2 linked regions of the Arabidopsis thaliana genome follow. The protein of the gene in region 1 interacts with the protein of each later gene in a pairwise test. Each region holds a gene or a part of one and is shown on either strand. Other genes may lie near its edges.

Region 1 (11,762 bases):
TATTCTTTAGCTTAGGGCCTTTTAAAACTCAAGGCCAGCTTGACTTGATCGCATAGTGTTGTAGTATGCATTGATGGACCTATGTTATACATTTTTGTGTGTATGTCAATGTCATAGATATGCATGAATATCTTTAAATGGGTCCAAGGTTTTGAAAGTGCATGTTTACTTTACTTGCCTAATAATAATATCAAGGGAGAAATATCCACAAGTTGACAATGCATAAATTTATATTTTTGATAAAGAACAACCCATAATTCTCTTTTCAAGTTGTCATGTCTCCTCCAACTCCATCAATATATTCTCATAATCTCATTCATGTATTGTCACACAACTCAAATAATGCTTTAATGTACTCAGCTTAAAAATTAAAACTTACCTTTCCTCCATCAGTTGAAGTTTTCGATCGTTAACAAGTACTCACGACTAATATTTATTGATTTGTGAGTTGTATCTAAAATTATGTATGTCAGTATGTGGCTATATTAATATAAAAAGATCAAATTTAAGTTTCAATTGAAATTATATTTAAAATCAACATGAAAGCTTTACCAAAAAAAAAACCTCATCAGAAAGGAGATGTACGTATGAAAAACAGAGTTCAATATAATCAGAATTCTTTCGATAATTTATGAAGTAAACTCTCAAATTTCGGATATTACAACACATATGAATAAAAACATTACTCATAACTCATAAGTGAGTAAGAAAAATAACATAATCCAAGAATAAGAGCTAATCCATCTTATGGTTCACTAGACATAGTTTATTCATTTAGAGATTGTAGATATATGGTTTATATTAATGTTCAAATATTAATCTAACAATTTTGGCAATCGACATGATTAAAAAATGAAATATATTCTCTTCCAACTATGGATACAAATAAAATCTATGGATTGTTGTTGTGGAATATTAAAAAGTAAACCCATATATAATTTACTGTTAACGGCAAACATCATTATCCAAATAGCACCATCGAAAAGACACATATCCCTGGCTTAGCGTAATAACAAATGGCCATGTGAAATTCATGGGCCCGAATAAAACACAAAGCTGGGCCCTCTTAATATTCCTAAATCCAAATAATCATATAATTATGTTTTCTGTTTGTCTCTCCCAAATATGATGTCGATAAAATTATAAGGGTTCGAATAGTTGCGCCAGTTAGGACGAACCAATTCATTTCCAATTCATTTCCGGTTTATACTACTTTTCTTTAGTATTTATGAACTATAATTTGTTGTCGTGTAAAAAATAGAACAAGTATGCGGCAAACTAACTATAGATTGTTTTTACGTAGAAAAAAAGCTTGATTTACATCAGTTTATTGTCCGTTCCAAAAATAGAAAACATTTCTCTGCTTTTTTTTATTGCAATCATTCAAAACCTAAATTTATAATCATTTATAACACCAAGAACATATATAAATCATCTTCACTCATAAAACATAAACAAACTACTCTACTTACAATATGCATAACCTCCACTAAATATATATGCATCCACAATTTACAAAATCATCATGTGGAAATTATCTCATACTTTAGTGTAATGGTTTTAACTGTTATATCACTTATAAGAAATCAGCTTAAAATTACTCGTATATGGGGCTTGTAGACTACCTTAAACTCCAAAAAACTAGATTTTGAAGCTCTAAATTGATCAATTAAGATGTATAGTTGGCCACTCTTTCAGCTGATCGATCATGTATATATGAAACAAATCTACAACGAATAAGTAAAACAATATTGCTTGTTTTTCAAGACGCAATGGAATTCAAGAGATCAGTCAATTCTACTAATAAATAATTTTCTAAATAAACATGATAATTTATCTATTTTTGTAGTTGTCTTTTGTCAACAAATGTCATCTTCATAAATGATTTCTTTATCCAAAAAATCACAAATTCATTGCCATAAATAACATGGTAAGATCACATATTAAGTTGAACAAAAAAGGGATCACATTTTCAAATATCTACCTCATATTTTTTTTTGTTATAATTTCTGACACGAGGAGATTATGGAACTGTCTTTAACAAATAAAAAAAGGGATTACGGAATTGAGATCTTAAAGTTTGATTATCCAAAAAGGATTTTATAAACAAAAAAATCAAGGTATATATCTAAATGCAAAAACGTATGATTAAATATCTTCGAACCTGGTGCATGATCAAAGCAACGTAACGTATCATGAAGATTCCGTGACCCACTTACCTTCAATTTTGTTTTATAATAATATTGTGAAATATTTATTACATCTCTTCCCTCTATTGTTCTCTTCCAGTACTATAAATAAAATGTCAAACCACTCCAACAAAATCAAACTAGCTACACAGTTATAAAAAAAAAGTATAAGCTTCACAATTTTCAAGCTTCTTCTCCTCTGTTCTTTAACAAATCCAAGAATAAGAAATATAAAACAATGAGGCAATTTCCAAGCATAAGAGGAAACATAAATGAGAAGATGATGACAACAATGGTGGAGTCTCAGACACGGTCTCCGTGGCGTACACCGGTTCCTTACCTATTCGGTGGTTTAGCCGCCATGCTTGGACTCATAGCCTTTGCTCTCTTGTTGCTCGCCTGCTCCTACTGGAGGCTCTCGCGGCAGACAGAAGATGAAGAGAAACAGACGGAGTCCGGTGAGAAAGTGGTGGCTAAGGCTTTTGAGGAGAAGATTCTTGTGATCATGGCTGGACAAAACAACCCTACCTTCTTAGCCACTCCGGTCGCGGCCAAGATTTGCCTGGATTGTGTTAATATGGAGAAGAAAGAAGGACAAAATGGGGAATCTAAAGTAACAGAAGAAAACCACTGACTACTGAGCTCTGTTCTCAAGAGTGTACTTTTTTGGATTCTCTGTTTTTGTCGGTTTGTTTTTTGTTTGTTGGGGAAGTAGTTTTCCTCTGTTTTTGTCGACCTTGAGATTGTAAATTTTCATTAGAGTAGTAAATGTGAACAAAAAAGTTGAGAAATTTCGGGTTTCTATGTATAAATGTTGGTATATGAATATATTTTGCTAAATTAAAGGTATCAATGTGTCATTGTTTTGATCATTAATATTTCCAAATTAGTTTTGAGAGTATATCTATATCCTGCTATAGCTTAAAGATTTACTTGTAAAACTAAGAAGTTTAGCTACATTTTCATGGCCGAGTGGTTAGCACTCTAAGTTAGAGGAGCATATATTTGGCCAAGACCAGGGGAGTGATTTCCGTTCTGAACGTGTGAGCCATCACTGTGTCTACGTGACTACTGAAGACATCTTTACTGGTCAAAACACTTGATTTTTATTGGGTCCAAAATAAATCAAAATGACCCAAGTTAGCAAACAAAAAAAACAAAAAAAAATATTGTGTGATGGGAAATATGTAAACAAATGGAAGTTGATTTTTAGTTTATTTTGTAAAAGTTACATAATTTTAGTCATTTTTTATAAAATTAGAATGTTATTTTATCGGAGAGCTTTTTTTCCGAAAAGTTTTCTCTCTATACCAGCTCTTTTTCTCCTGGTCATTTTTTTCGACAAAATTGTGGCTCCGACTAACGTTCGTGGACTTCCAAAGCCACGACGTTGGTTCGGCTTAAGTTTTTAGGTTTGTTTTTTTCTTTATTTGGCTGGGATCTTTTGGTTTTTCTGCAGAGTATCTGTTCTCATAATCAGAGTTCTTTGGTCTATATATGCATCGGTCCTATGCCAACTGTCTAAGTTGTGGTTGGTGAAGCGGTATGGACGACCATCTCTTAAGCTTCTCCACTCGATGCTCCCTTTAAATCTGGGCGAAATCTGTTTTGGTTTGGGATTCCTTTCACCGGTAAAGTCGATGGTTTCGACATCACTTACCAGGATTTTTCTAACAGTCTTTTGTACAAGTTCGAAACTTAACGGTTAGGATCTAATGGAATTTCATGATTGTACTTTTGAAGTCTACTAATAAGCAAGTGAGACATGAAGATTGAGAGGTTATGCTTAGATTTTCATATTTTCCAATTTCAAAATTTCTAGCTAATTAGATAGTTGATATTTTTGCAGTTAGATCATTAGTTTCTCTGTTTGGTTTAATTATGTTTTTCATTTGTTTCAAGTTTTTATGTTTCTTCTGGATGGGGCTGTTGGCTCCGGAAGTCCGTTATACTAGCCGGTTTTGTATACCTCCTTAATTCGATAAATAAACATCAGTGACCAAAAATAAATAAATGTTATTTTACCTTACGACATTTTACTTTACATGATACCTACCACACATGTAATCTGAACGAAAAAACCTATACGCTAACATAGCCATACATAAGCGTTTTTACTATCATGTCATTTTTTGCAAAATTAATCATAATTTTAACTCAGGTCCTGAATGTTTTATAGTTTTTAATTGGTTTTTAGTTTTCGGTTTTTGAATTTTGGTTTTTGATTTTTGAAGTTTTTGATTTTTGTTGTGGATTTTAGTTTTTGCAAAATCAAGAATGGAAATTTTTTTATATTTTTTTTAACTCGAATGGAAATTTATATAATTTTTAATTTTTTTACTTAATCTTAATGTTTAAACATTTTTAAATTGTGTATTTTATCTTTGGATGAATTGATAAATGGTAAAAATAGCATAATTAAATAATAATAGTAAATTAAAAAAAAAGGGTTACGTAAATTGTTTTAAAAACCCACAAAACTTAGTTTTTAGATTCTATGAAGAAATAGCTAAAAACTCCTAAAATCTAGTTTTCCTATTTTTTAAAAAATCTACTTTTTGTAGAAGAATGAATGAGTAATTATTTAGTTTTTGCAAAATCAAAATAAAAAAACTACTTCAAAAATTGGAACCATTCAAGGCCTCAATCATTTGTCCATTTTTAATCTAAACGAAAAAACCCACTCCTTTCATTTGTTTCTTTAAATTTCTGCAATGTTTAATTTTTATTAAAACTTATGTTCGTTTCTTTCAAGTCATCTAGTTTAAGAATAGTACAAGAGCACAGTACGAGTGTACGACACGATCAATTTATGTTTTTTCACTTTATAGTTTTGCTCGTAACTCATATTTATTGATGATGACTCGACTCCCATGGTTTTTGCCGCCGGCATGCTTTTATGGGTTGGGAAAAAATAAGTAATTTGAGAAAGATGATGTCATAATATGGACATGTGTCCGTTCACAGATTGGCTTCAAAGAGTTTCAATATGTTTGACTTTGGAACAGTTGTATGAATTTGCTCTATTTGCTGCAACTACCTGACGCGGCGATGCGACTCTGCCTACATCATAACTCATAATTAATGCAACGCTCATTTGAATCAAACTTTCACAAATCAATACGGTTACACATTTTTCATGATGTATGATTCTGACACTTTCAATATTGTTTTTTTTTCTTTTTCTAATTAAGAGTTTTGATAATCACTCCTAATTTTTATTTTCATTTTAATTATTTAAGTTTCAATTATTATCATGCTTATATATTTCTATTTTTTTTTAATTTAATAATGTCAAATCAAATTTACTTTTGAAGTTTTAAATTTTATTAGTTGGTCAGACACAACACAACATAAAATTTATTTTGAGAAAACCAAGAGTACAAGATGTAATGTTTAAAATCGTGGTAGAAGTTTGATTTATGGAGAAAAGAAAAAGAGTTTTCATAAGAAAGTGAAATTTTTCATTTTATTTCATTATCAAAGCCTAAAATAAATGACGATTCTCTTCACTTTCTCATAAATACTCTTTTTTTCTTTTTTCTTTTTGCAGAAATCAGTCCACCGCGATTTTCAAAATCTTCATCTTGTACTCTCAATTCTTTTATTGCCTGTTGTGTTCTGTCTAGTTCTGATTTATGCTTAACTAATAAAATTTCCAAAAAAATTGATTTGACACAATTAAATCAGAATAATAGAGAAATGAGAAGCATGATAAATGAATCTTAGATAATTCAAAATAAATAAAAAAAAAATAAATAAATAATCTAAAATACTAAAATTACAACAAATTATTAGTAAAAAAAGAAGCATATATTGGTTTTACATATATATATATTTTATACATGTCAAAATCTGATCAATAGATATAATATGCGAGTTACTAATTTTGAAATAAGTCTTTATTTATATTGTAATAAGGATAGTAAAAATTTATAAGGTCTTATCCTGGAGTTATGTGTGGAATAGTTACGGTGCAGTTAACCATGAAATTTTGAAGAGGTATTTTTGATGACTATCTAGAGGGCGTTGATTTCTTTGTTGATAAAAAAAGAAATAAGTTTATGTGAAACCAGTGAGTTTGTGTTGTGACTTTTAGCAAATTGAGAAATAAAGTTATTGGGCTGAAATAAGCATTTTAGTGAACAACAAAACACATACATGCAGAATATATCAGTAATAACTAGAAACCAATGGTCCACATAAGGCCCATATTCAGCCCACTAGTGACCGACCTACCCACCGGCCATTTACTTTATCCTCGCTAGTCACAGTATCGTTTCCATTTAAGTTTGCTCCTCATGGTGGTGGTCCTAAAACTCATCTACCCATACTTCTTCACCACTTTTTTCATTTTATTTTGCAATAGAACCACTCTCTGTGTCAGCTTATGGATTTGAATGGTTACGACGGTTGGGGCGAACAAAACCGTCAATGGATCAGATCGTTTTTTGTTTTATCATTCATCAAAAATAGTCCGCAGTGGTCCGGACCAAAAAAAATAGAAGAAAACCGCTGCGGACCATCTGCAGACCGTTTTTACATACAAATAAACTTGGTTTACAGCGATTTATAGTCCGCCCCAAAAATGAGATGGAGTAAACCGCAGACAAATTAGACCGCTTTGTCCGCTGCCTCCATTCATAACCTATAAATCATATAAAAAAGTTCGTAGACAAATTTGCTACGCATCATTTGCTAAAATAAAACACCTGTTGCCAAATGTCGACGATCCAGAATTATGATTACAAGTATCATCATCATACGATTACAATTATATAAAGAAATAAAGAACACACAGAACTATAATGCCAAGTAATTTCATCAGAAATAAAATTACGTTGTTTGGCTAAGATTTTACCACGTGTCAACTTTTCATTCGATCTAGATGGATACCCATGGACCCCACATGGATAGACTCATTGACACGCTCATGTGAAGCCAATAGTAACACCAACCACAAAAGAAAGAGAGAGAGAGAGACACTGAAACATAGAGAGAAGAAAAAGAAGAGGTTTAGAGAGAGAAAAATGGCGTCAAAGCTCTGCGATTCGTGCAAATCAGCGACGGCGGCGTTATACTGCCGACCAGACGCAGCGTTTCTATGCTTAAGCTGCGATTCAAAAGTCCACGCGGCGAACAAACTCGCGTCACGACACGCGCGCGTGTGGATGTGTGAAGTGTGCGAGCAAGCACCGGCACACGTCACGTGCAAAGCAGACGCGGCCGCGTTATGCGTCACGTGCGACCGTGATATCCACTCGGCTAATCCGTTAGCTCGCCGTCACGAACGCGTTCCCGTTACTCCGTTTTACGATTCCGTCTCTAGTGACGGTTCCGTTAAACACACCGCCGTTAATTTCCTTGACGACTGTTACTTCTCCGATATAGATGGTAACGGAAGCCGTGAAGAAGAGGAGGAAGAAGCTGCTTCGTGGCTGTTACTTCCCAATCCAAAGACTACAACGACGGCGACGGCGGGGATCGTTGCTGTTACTTCAGCTGAGGAAGTTCCGGGAGATAGTCCGGAGATGAACACTGGTCAACAGTATTTGTTCTCGGATCCGGATCCGTATCTGGATCTGGATTATGGAAATGTTGATCCGAAGGTGGAATCGTTAGAGCAGAATAGCTCCGGTACTGATGGTGTTGTTCCGGTGGAGAATCGGACGGTTAGGATTCCGACGGTGAACGAGAATTGCTTTGAAATGGATTTTACCGGAGGATCTAAAGGCTTTACTTATGGTGGTGGTTACAATTGCATCAGTCACAGCGTAAGCTTAATGTTCTTTAATCACAGTGATTAATTTAATTGATTATGTTTGATTAACAATTATTTATCAATTTTTAACGAAAAAGTTTAGATCTTTAGGGTTTAGACTTTTGATGATACTTAAAATTATTAATTTATTGGGAAGTAATGATTGGCTGACTAAAATTTAGGGTTATGCGAGCAACATGTGTAAATTAATCTGTAATTAGAAGAAATATTATGATAATCCTTAATTTAAGTATCTAATTATGTATTAATCAAAGAATTTTGGTGTCTTCTTTTTCATTTGTTTTGTTTAATCTAGTGTAGATCTAATCATATTCACTTATAAGTTATAACCTATAGTATTTGTCAGTTTGATTGTACTTATTATAATGGCTTGATCCAATGGTTGGTGTAATTTAGGTGTCATCATCGTCGATGGAAGTGGGAGTGGTGCCAGATGGTGGTTCGGTGGCTGATGTATCGTATCCTTACGGTGGTCCTGCAACCAGTGGAGCTGATCCGGGGACACAGCGGGCTGTTCCGCTGACTTCAGCTGAGAGAGAAGCGAGGGTAATGAGGTACAGAGAGAAGAGGAAGAACAGGAAGTTTGAGAAGACTATAAGGTATGCTTCAAGGAAAGCGTATGCGGAAATGAGACCGAGAATCAAGGGACGGTTTGCGAAGCGGACGGATACAAATGAGAGCAATGATGTGGTTGGTCATGGTGGTATCTTTAGTGGGTTCGGACTTGTACCTACATTTTAGATATTGAGAGAGGGAGAGACTCTAAAATGGAAGATGGTGGGTGGTTTGGTGTTTGTTTTAGTAATAAGGTTTTTAACGAACGTTTAATTTAAACGAGTTTGTTTGTTTTTTGTTGATGAGTATTTTTAGTTGTTGTGGGCGATGAAGAGGAAGAGAAGTGAGTGGGTGGTGTTTAACTGTTTATAAGTAACTTGTTTTGTATATATCGTGATTTTGAATATGTTCTTGTTTATGTTATGTACTCAAACTATTTAGAATCAACAAGTTTACAAAATTTGGTACACTGCAAAAAGAAATTACATTGTTGAAGTTAAAGACCTCAGAAAAAAGGGTGACAAAGAGAAGAAACTTACATGAACGAGATAAATCAGTTTCGAGGCAAAATCTTTGGACACTAAATAGTTCAAAGTTAAATGAAGATGATACATTCATTTATCAAAAGAAGGTAGTGGACGTTTTAGTTAAAGATAGAGGGAGTTGTCTTTCTTGCGGCGGAATCACTATGAACTTTGATTGGTTTTCGATTCCTTTCACCCGTTGATCCGCTCTGTTCTGTTGCGGCCGGCTTCTTCGCAGTGCTACTGTCCAAGTCGTTGTGTACTGTGCTTTGCGTTTGATTAGGTACCTTGGCTGAACTCTTAGGCTCTGAGTCGCTGCGAATTTTGATTGGCATTTGACTCTTTTCCCCGGTTAAACCACTCTGTTCTGAAGAAACGCTGTGTCCTGTTGCTGTAGTCGCGATTGGTTTTTGGTTCGAGTTATCGGCACTTCTAGCTGCAATCGGCTTTTGGTTCAGGCTTTGACTGTCAGTGTTGCGGTCCAAGTCCTTGTTTACTGTGGTATGGTCTTGATTGGTTTCTTTGGCTGAGATCTTGTGGTCTGAGTCATTTCTAACAGCGGTTGGCACTTGATTTGCTTCCTCGGATGAGCTGGAACCGTTGTTGTTAGCTGACTTGCTCTCCAAGAAACGTACAACTACACATGTAATATTGTCTGCACTTCCTCTTTTAATTGCTTCTCCCACAAGTTTCTTGGTGGACTCTTCCGGATCTTCAACTTCTTTTACTACTGCAACTGCTTCCTGAAAGACCATCAGAGAGATCTCAATCATTGAGTTTGATGTGATACTTATCGGAACATGAAAGTAGTTTTTCGAAGAAGAACTTAATTTTACAAACCTCATTGGAGAAAACATCCCATAGTCCATCGCTGGCAAGAATCAGAAACTCAAGAGAATCATCAATCTTCTCTTCCTGAAGTTGAAGACATGACCTTAAGTGAACACAAGTAGATGTTGTGTGTGGTTTACAAAGCAAATGAAGATACAAACCTGAATTTCTGGATCAGCAACAACATATTGTTTAAGCAATCGATCACCAAACGCGCGGGAAACTGCAAGAACTCCTCCAACTCTCCAAGTCCCTGTTCAATCTAGGAGTTAGGCACACCGGAAAATAAGCCACAAAGCGGGAAATAACTCTACGGTTTCTTGTTACCTGCCCACATCACAAAACCACCAGCATTCTCAATCCGTTCACGCTCATCACTTTGGTCAGGTTTATGGTCTCTTGAAACAGCAAATGCTACAAGAGCACATGAATTCATTTCAGAAGATTTCAATAGATACCAAGAGTCATGACTTAATCAAAAATGTCAATAAAAGTACCATTTCCGCCACGACATATAACAGCTCTGGAATCACCAACATTAGCAACAAGTAAACGATCACCAACGAGAATAGCTGTGGAAGCAGTTGAACCAGCATCTCTAGTATGACTATTTTCTGACTTGAGAAGTTCAGAGTCTGTATGAGTATAGGCATCAGCTGAACCAAAAACACAAAGCAAATATATATGATCCCAAGATTTAGAGCAACAATAATAGTAAGTCCAAACGAAAAGAAATTGAAAGTAAACCTATTGCAGATTTGGTGTCAGAGATGAACTTAGGATGAGTAATAAGATTGCTGAAAAGGTGACGCTTCACATACTCAGCTGCTCTGGATCCACCATGACCTGCAAAAAACAATTAAAAAAACAAACATGAATACTTTTTGCTCTTTCTTATAAGCAACCCTAATCAATATCCAATTTGAGATCATATATATAAAACCTTCATAAAAATGTCATTGAGACATAATGTATAAATTCTTGTTAAGAAAGGGACCAAGAATACCATCAAAGACTCCAAATAGACCAACGATTTCTCCATCGATACCGTCGATCCTTGTCTCAAAAAAGTCTTCCATAGATGACCTTTTTCCAGCTGAGCTTGCATATCCATAGCTAAATTTTCCATTCTGACTGCAGTTCAAAAGTTCATAAACATTGTGATGAGTTCATGTTAAGGAAAACGAAAGTTCGAATCAATATAATCTTTGAGACGAAACAAACATGTAGCTAGCAAAAAAACAGATCACAATGGAACAAGTTCTACATGGCTTTTCATTCAAGTAACCTAAACTAGATCAAACACAGAGATCATTGATCAATCCTAAGCCCTAAATTTCGAATGTAACAAATCAATAATGTAGATATATAGATAATTTCAATCAAATAGAGAGGTAAGTGACCTGAGACCACCTCCGCTTGCGGGAGCTTCAACAATCCGCATTTGATTCGAATAAGATAACGCCAAGTCCATATATCCCATTTTTGCAGAAATTTCAAATACTACTCTTCAGAAACATACAGAGACCGCGACGGGATTAAGGAGAAAAGTCAAAGGAAACCTGAGGAAAATGATTGGAGAGAAGAATAAGGGGAAGAAGATTGAGAGATTTTCTCATTGATGGTGGAAGAGAAATACCGTAAGAAACAGAAAGCAGTGAGCGGTGTTACGTGTTCCGGAAGCAATGGTGTTTAGCAGTTTCCGGGGTTTAAATATTATTTGCTAATTATAGAAAGGTTTAGTGGACTTTTAGAAGTCAAAAGCTTGGACCAATGATACATCTCAAAATTGACACGTCATGCGATTGATTAAGCATCTATTGGCTCTTGTTTAGCTATTTTGATTTTCTTTGTTTATGGTTTATATGCGAGGGGATTTGT
Region 2 (7,681 bases), on another chromosome or scaffold:
GTTTCATAAAATTTGTTTACAATTGATTAACGAATGGCATGTGAAATGGTCAATGCTTTTTTGTGGTATATGTGTTAATATTATCATCTCGTTTTAAGGTTTTGAATAGAAGATGGCAGTGAATCCAAAGTGACTTATAAAGGAGCTAATCTCATTGCACAAAGTATAACTAATGACTTTTACGGCTCCATTTGTATGTAGCTCTTGGTTGCAAGGTGTGTAACGTGTGTTTAATGGTGAAAGATCTCTTTCTTCTCTATGAACTTGTGTGTTTTTGTGTAGGTGGAGACACTTCTTTTGTATATTCCCCTTGTATTGAAAATGTGCTTTGAATAGGTTGATCCCGCAGGACTCAGGTTTGGGTTGGTTCTTTTTGTGTAACCTTGTATTCTATCTTCTTCTTTAATCAAATCAGATGACAAAAAATTAAATATATATTACATTTGTATCCAGACATGTATAAACTTTAATTAAATCACTATCATAATGGTTTGTTGACACAAAGAATTCACCTAACCATGGTTATGTTTTTGTTATTTAATGAGATGAGATCAACCATGGTGATTAAAATAGGTTGATCCCTGAGCTTTGGATTGGTTCTTTTTGTGTAACTTTGTATAATTATATCAAATCAGACAAAAAAATATATATAAAAAATTACAACTGTATCCAAAGACATGTATAAACTTTAATTAAATCACTATCATAATGGTTTGTTGACACAAAGAATGCATTTAACCATTGTTATGTTTTTGTTATTTAATGAGATGAGATCAACCATAGTTCAGTTAAAATTTAATCAAATCACTATCATAATTGTTTGTTGACACAACGAATTCATCTAACCATGCATGATTGAGATATTTTAATGATGAACAAATAAAATAAAATAAAAATAATGATATGAGATCAACCATGGTTAAGTTAAATTCCATTTTGCTAATTATAGTTAAGTTAAGTTATATTGTTAGCTAAATCATTAGAGAAGCTAATTGTAATATTACCGAACAGTAAAAATATTACAAGACACTGAAGACGCATCGCCACCGTTAAAAGCTAAAAACTAACCCAGATGGTGGAAATCAACGGTCACTAACAAACACAAACGACATGAAGCAAATAAAAGATTGCACATATAGCCAAAATAGACGAAACAGAACATAAACACGTGGCGTAAAGAACATAATTATTTTACATCATTCTCATGTCACTCTACCCTCTCGGCTCAACGGTGCTTGCTCCTAGTGTCGTCGCTGTATAGCCTGCGGGATCACAACAACGGTCAAACCATCTTAGATCTGATCTACACCGTCCGGTCAGATAATAATAACAGAAACTGAGTACGTACCAATCGTAGACGGTGGGAGAGTTTGGGTGAGAAGGCTTGTCGAAGAGGTTTGTGCCCATTCCTCTAGTGGCGATGTTACTTCCTGGATGAAACACACTTCTCCACACGTTTTCCTTACGCGCCGATCCTGGCGTCGTCGGAGTTCCAGGACTCCCGGCCACCGCCGCCACAGTTTTACTACTGCTCCCTTCTCCTACACCTTCCAAAAACCATCACATGATATAATTATGAGATCATACGTTTCTACAAAGATCTGTATATGCAAGTTTATTACGGAGTTATGGTTGACAAAGAAAAATAAATACCTTTGATGTCAAGGGGTTGGGTGGTGATCTTATTGCGGAGGCGGCCAAGGCCATGCTCCGGTTTAGGTCCGGCTACAGTTTCATCCCACATATTTCTTTCTTTTTTTGGGTTGATTTTGGATAGAATTGTGTCAAGTGTGAAGTACTTACTAAAGGGCTTCCTTCATCTAATTTATAGACTCATTTTTAAACTATTCGTAAAAATATCTCTTTTCCTTTGTCGACTAGTTCTCTCATTTTTTATTTGACCCACAAAATATCTAGAGAAATACTATAATAGACTAGAAATAATTGACAAGTAATTGATAACTTAATTACCAAATGAAGTTTATATACTTGCACATAGAATTTTCGTTAAAATTTGATACGTTTAGCCAAAATGTTATTATTCTCTGTCAATAAACAACATGAATACATAATATAATTGTAAATTGTGTGTTATGTATTAATATGTCATTTTACAACATTTTAATATAACATGCAACTTCCAGGGTTTAGAGCTAAAATACACGCCATCTTTGGAAATTAGGATGTGGATAAGCCTACTTTAAAGGACCTTAATATATAACATTAATGTTATAATATAGATCAAACCATTGATCATGAGAAGCGTGAGCAGTGAGGGAGAAGTGTGGAAATAAAAAAAATGCAAGGTGGGTATAGAGCTGGAGATATGGATAAGGACGACGAGTCATAAAGTGTAGGGACCCTTAAATCAAAAGAATCCCAAGTCTTTCGTGGAAAAGTATTATAGGAACAACAAACATATTTTGATTATTTTGTGAAGTTAATATTATTAAGCAACAGTAACTCTAATCAAATAGTTTTCCACAAACCCACCATAGATAATAAGTTCATGATGTCCTAATGATCATAGTCCAAATGATTCACTAAAATGTTTGAAAAAGATAAAACTAATTCCAAAACTGTACACAAAACGTATGCACTTTATCCTAAACCAAAAACCACTTTCTACTTACAGTAAAACTTCTATAAATTAATAATGTTAGGACCGAAAAATTATATTAATTTATAGAGGTTTTAATTTATCGATTAATTAATTAATTTATAGAGATATTTTTCTAATTTATTAACTTTTAAAAAAAATTTAAGATTTTTTCATTATAGAAAATATTTTTTAAGAATCAATTACAAGTAAAAAGTAATATCATATTTAGAAAACAACACCAAAATTTTTTGATACAATAAAATATTAGAACTCAATATCAAATAAGAATAAATACAAATTTAAGCAAAAAAAAATATTAGAAATATATTTTAAAGAAATTTCTTACATATAATGTATATATAGTTGATACATTTCTGCAATTATTAATTTGTGATATTAATGAGACCATATATTTACATAGGATTTTCAAAAAAATTATTATCTTATTAATTTATCGATTTATGTCATTTTTTCCATTAGTCTCACCTCGGGATTGGAAGAAATTATTAATTTATAGAGGTTATTAATTTACCGAGTATTAATTTACAGAGGTTTTACTTATATTGATGGAGAAATACAAAACTAAAACTAACTTCTAATTTGAAAAATCTTGGTTTCACAAAGCTAAATTACTTATCAAATAGTTAGGAAACGTACCTCAACATTATTCCATTTCTTTCTCTTTTCCTCTGCTTCCAAGGCAACCATTCTTTATCACATTACTTCTAAAGATCACATTCTAAATCATATTCCCAAAGGTAAAAGAAAACTGTTTTAAGCATAAATTAAGCTTTGAAGAGTTTTACAATGTGTACACATTTCCTCCACCAAGCTCCCATTCCAACCTTATTCCATTATCGGTAAAGGATAGGAATGGAGTTCCAAAGAATTTAGGTGCTACGTACTAAATCTATAACTGAGTAAAAGAAGGATGACATAATGTACAGGAATCTCATCAGTTTGAGCTCATGCCACACCAAGTGACATTTGGTTTGATAACTCAGGGTTTACCATACTTTTCGACATACCCCTGCAAATGAACATAAGAATTGTTAGCTTATGCAATACTTACTACTTAGGTTTTTACCTGCTTTAAGTGTCTTTTATTTCCAGCTAAGAAACTCACCTCGACAAGTTTCACAATTCTGGTTCCAGACAAACCAAGATATTGATCAACTGATTCTGTGTCAGTTGGCACCTGATGAAACTGGACAGCGGCGCCGACTACCTTTTCTGCAGCTTTTTTAACTATCATGTTATGCACGTCTTTAGTTAGACGACCCTCACGCCACAACGGTTTCAACATTTCTTTAATGGTTTCCACAACTGCAGTCCGGAATAGTCTCATTACTTTCATTCCTGCATCTGACCTCACTTCACCATCTATCTCATCTGATTTCTTTGTCTTTTTATATGAAGACCCATCACTTCTATGCCAAGAATCATGCCCTGCAGGTTTGATTCTTTTCAAAACAACTCTATTCTCTGCAGCCGTAGCCGAAGAAATCTCTTTGCTAGGCGTTGCTGTATCATTTTGATCAACCACTGACGTAGCCACCCCTTCCACTACTCCATGTGCTTCCAAACTCCTTGCCACGGTTTCTTGGTGTTGATTTTGACTGCATGAACTGCTTTTATCATCATTCTTGCAATCCCGTGCTTGGGGACCACTAGCAGAATCACCATCTTTCTGCTGGCAGGAACTTTTCCGTGCATGTTCTCCTTTACTTGACAATGAATCATTAAGAGGTCTGTCTCCTAGATTCTCTATATCCGTGAAAGGATCGTAGAGGGCATCAGACGAGGGAAGAATATAAGGTGGAATTGTAAAAGATGCTTTAAAAGGTTCAGAAGGTTCCCAGTCATCTGAAGAAACTTTCTTTTTAGTGCTAGTAGTGTTGGCTTCTGCGCCTTTATCAGAAGAAACAGCTACCCCTTGCAGCGTTGGAAGTGATCCGGATCCAGATAAACTATTCCCATTTTCAAAATCCCCCACCGTAGAAGCACGATCATTCATAGGAACAGAACTGGATAATGATCCTGTCCAGGCTGGTCCAGCAGATCCCATGTCTGTTTTTAAATAGGAACTGATAGAAGGTCTATGCTCATGAACAAAGCTGCTTCTCAATGCGAAGGAATTGGCGTTATTAATAACTAGAGACCTGTTGTCAGTGAAATCAGCACCATACGTTTGCTTCAAACTCTCTCTTCTAATGTTTTCAAATGAAGGCATAAAGCGCATCTCGTTATTGAACGGGAAAACTCTCTGAGAACCTGGGGGATTCACAAAAGACATGGAGGAGAAAACTCTCTGAGGATTCATGAAAGATATATCCTCTCTGGTAGGCAACGATGTCACACCGTTTTCGCTTAACTGGGAAACTCTTACACCTTCTCTGCTGTCCAAAATTCTTCTTTCTGAATAGACATAAGCAAAATAAATTATTGGTTGATTCAGAAAGAGTAATTAAACCCCATAGATATTCACCGGCCTCTATATTGTTGGAACTACCTCCACATAGAATCACAAGAATAAGTATTCATGGTACAACGTACCTAGATCAGACCGGATACCACCGTTTCCAGCCATACTATTTTCCGCCAGTTGTTGACTAGTGCAATTTGAATTCTCTTTCACATGTAGAAACTTGCAGGACACCCCATTGAAACACCACCCTTTAGCAAAAAATTTGCAGGGAAGAGCTGCACGTTTTTGTTCTGGTTCATTCCCACCACCGCCAGTGAAAAAGCTTCTTGGCGGTATACCCGGAGCAGGAAATCTGATAACCGAATTTGTCAGTATAAAAGCTTCAACCTCTTAACTTAGTTTCAGCAAAACTTAAGCAGAAACTTTTTTGCCATACCTTGGTAAAGTACCATTATCTTGAGCAAAAGCTTGCTCCTTTATGATTTTTGATTGCTCATCTAAAGGTGTTGTTACAGAATGCCTCTTCACATCTACATGAGACAAGTTTAATCAGTACATATTAGCAAAACTGCTGTTTTGAATAAACAAAAGAGATTCCTTACAGAAACAAGCACAAAACTCTGAGAATTGAATTTGCTTACTTGGTATTAAAGCCACAATTTTTACAAAAGAGCTTCAGTGAAAATCTAATTGCCAAGTCTTTGAACCTCTAATCAGAGCTAAATCTAGTCAATTTAACAATTCTCTCTTTCTTCTAGAACAAAATTCATCAATTCCAAATTGGAAAAGGTGTTTCCATCAATAAAAACACGAACTTGACAGAATTAATCAACAATACCATGTAACCAATCACGAATTTCAAATACTAACCGTTGTGGGAATTGGAAGCTTGAATTGGTGGTTTATCAAACAATTCAGATTCTCTTACAATTGTATGTACTTGCACCTTTTGTTCGACCTCATCATCATCAATGTCCATGTCGGAATCAGACATCTTGAAGTCTTCGGCGAGGTAACCAACGCAGAGAGTGGTAAATTGATAAAAAAAAATACTGCGGCGTGATCGGGGTCCGAAGCTCGCTGTTGAGTCCTGATGATCTCCGAGAATACGTTTGGTATATCGAAACCACCATTGTTACAAAGACCACCGAACTATTTTATATCTAATGGGCCTTTCCTAAATAATTAAAGCTTTAGTATTAAGGCCCATACTAAATTCCAAATTTTACCAACTATTTCCTAAATTAACACATCGTTGCCTTTTTATAGTAACCGGATTAAACCAAAACAAAATTAAAGAGAATCGAATCAAACCGTGAAAATCGTGAAGCGTAGTGGTGCTATATTGCACGTTAACTGTCTCCATCACTGCCACTGGTAAACCCTAAGAATCCTCCGCAATTTCGCAATTTTGTGAAGGAGCCGCCGGCTAAATTTGATGGCAGACCAAAGTTCGGAGATCGTCAATGCTCTGTCGTCGGAGATGGAAGCTGTTTCCGTTTCATCAACTCAGGCATCTTCTTCGTCCGATGGATTCCAGTGAGTTTTCTTACCAATCATCAATTTTTTTCATTTTCGCGCTTCAATTTTGATTTGGATTATATTATTTGATTAGAGTGGAAGAGATGAAAAAGCTATAGCAATTTAGAAGTATGGAATTTAAAATTGAAAAGATCTTGTTATCTGCTTATTGGTCTGGTAGATATTGAAATTTTACTAATTCTTCAGGATGAGTGAAGAAGTTGAGAAGAGATACAAAATTGTTAGGAGTATCGGTGAGGAATGTATACAAGAGGAAGAGCTAAAGAATCTTCTTGCTAAGAAGGCTGCTCCGATTTGCTACGACGGCTTTGAACCATCAGGAAGAATGCACATTGCTCAGGTCTGTTAGTTTTCCTTTGTTCCATTACCATATGTGGGAAGGAAGCGTTGGCTAATCTATTTTGGTTCTGTTGTTTTCTTAATAGGGAGTGATGAAAGTCATCAATGTGAACAAAATGACTTCAGCTGGTTGCAGAGTGAAGATTTGGATTGCTGATTGGTTTGCTCAGTTGAACAACAAAATGGGTGGTGACTTGAAGAAAATCAGAGTGGTTGGAGAATACTTTCAAGAGATATGGAAGGCTGCTGGGATGGATAATGACAAAGTAGAGTTTTTGTGGTCGTCCGAAGAAATTAATTCTAAGGCAGATAAGTATTGGCCTCTTGTGATGGACATTGCTCGCAAAAACAAGCTCCCTAGAATCTTAAGGTTACTTTTCTAAATCTTCTCCATTCTTGGGACGTTGTAATTATGTGAGGGAAATGATGGGACCTGAATGACTCTGGTTCTTGTCCTTGAAGGTGTGTGCAGATTATGGGACGTAGTGAGACTGATGAACTGAGTGCTGCCCAGATCCTTTACCCATGCATGCAATGTGCAGATATTTTTTTCCTTGAGGTACTGTTAAGCCTTTGCTTGCTTATGAACTGTCTTTGATTCTGCTGCTAGTTACTCGGAATAAAAAATTTAGCTTAAGCGTTACATCAGCAGAAAGTCTATTATATTGTTGATAAAACACCTGATAAAAGCTCCAGGCTAGAAATAAGCTGTATATGATTGCAGATTTTATCAATGTAATGTTACATTTTGTGTATCTGGCTGATGAGTT

Evidence for each region. Proteins that work in one complex are often made in the same cells at the same time.
Region 2: the proteins of COL4 (region 1) and FES1 interact in a two-hybrid assay, tested with the Arabidopsis thaliana proteins (one large-scale study listed by BioGRID).

What each region holds. Positions count from the first base shown.
Region 1 is NC_003076.8:8,582,238-8,593,999, forward strand, and holds COL4 (zinc finger CONSTANS-like protein), read left to right. Parts: upstream 1-7,219; coding exon 7,220-7,963; intron 7,964-8,367; coding exon 8,368-8,712; downstream 8,713-11,762. Other genes in the region: GDU5 (glutamine dumper 5), read left to right, coding at 2,428-2,823; AT5G24940 (Protein phosphatase 2C family protein), read right to left, coding at 9,170-9,793, 9,891-9,965, 10,043-10,134, 10,209-10,295, 10,379-10,537, 10,629-10,727, 10,888-11,015, 11,285-11,364.
Region 2 is NC_003071.7:14,308,543-14,316,223, forward strand, and holds FES1 (Zinc finger C-x8-C-x5-C-x3-H type family protein), read right to left. Parts: upstream 6,173-7,681; 5' UTR 6,025-6,172; coding exon 5,901-6,024; intron 5,561-5,900; coding exon 5,467-5,560; intron 5,383-5,466; coding exon 5,159-5,382; intron 5,021-5,158; coding exon 3,729-5,020; intron 3,633-3,728; coding exon 3,603-3,632; 3' UTR 3,170-3,602; downstream 1-3,169. Other genes in the region: AT2G33830 (Dormancy/auxin associated family protein), read right to left, coding at 1,226-1,262, 1,349-1,547, 1,654-1,744; AT2G33840 (Tyrosyl-tRNA synthetase, class Ib, bacterial/mitochondrial), read left to right, coding at 6,469-6,569, 6,759-6,912, 6,998-7,281, 7,374-7,470. UniProt on the Arabidopsis thaliana protein: Transcriptional activator involved in the FRIGIDA-mediated vernalization pathway, but not in the autonomous flowering pathway. Acts cooperatively with FRI (FRIGIDA) or FRL1 (FRIGIDA-LIKE 1) to promote FLC (FLOWERING LOCUS C) expression.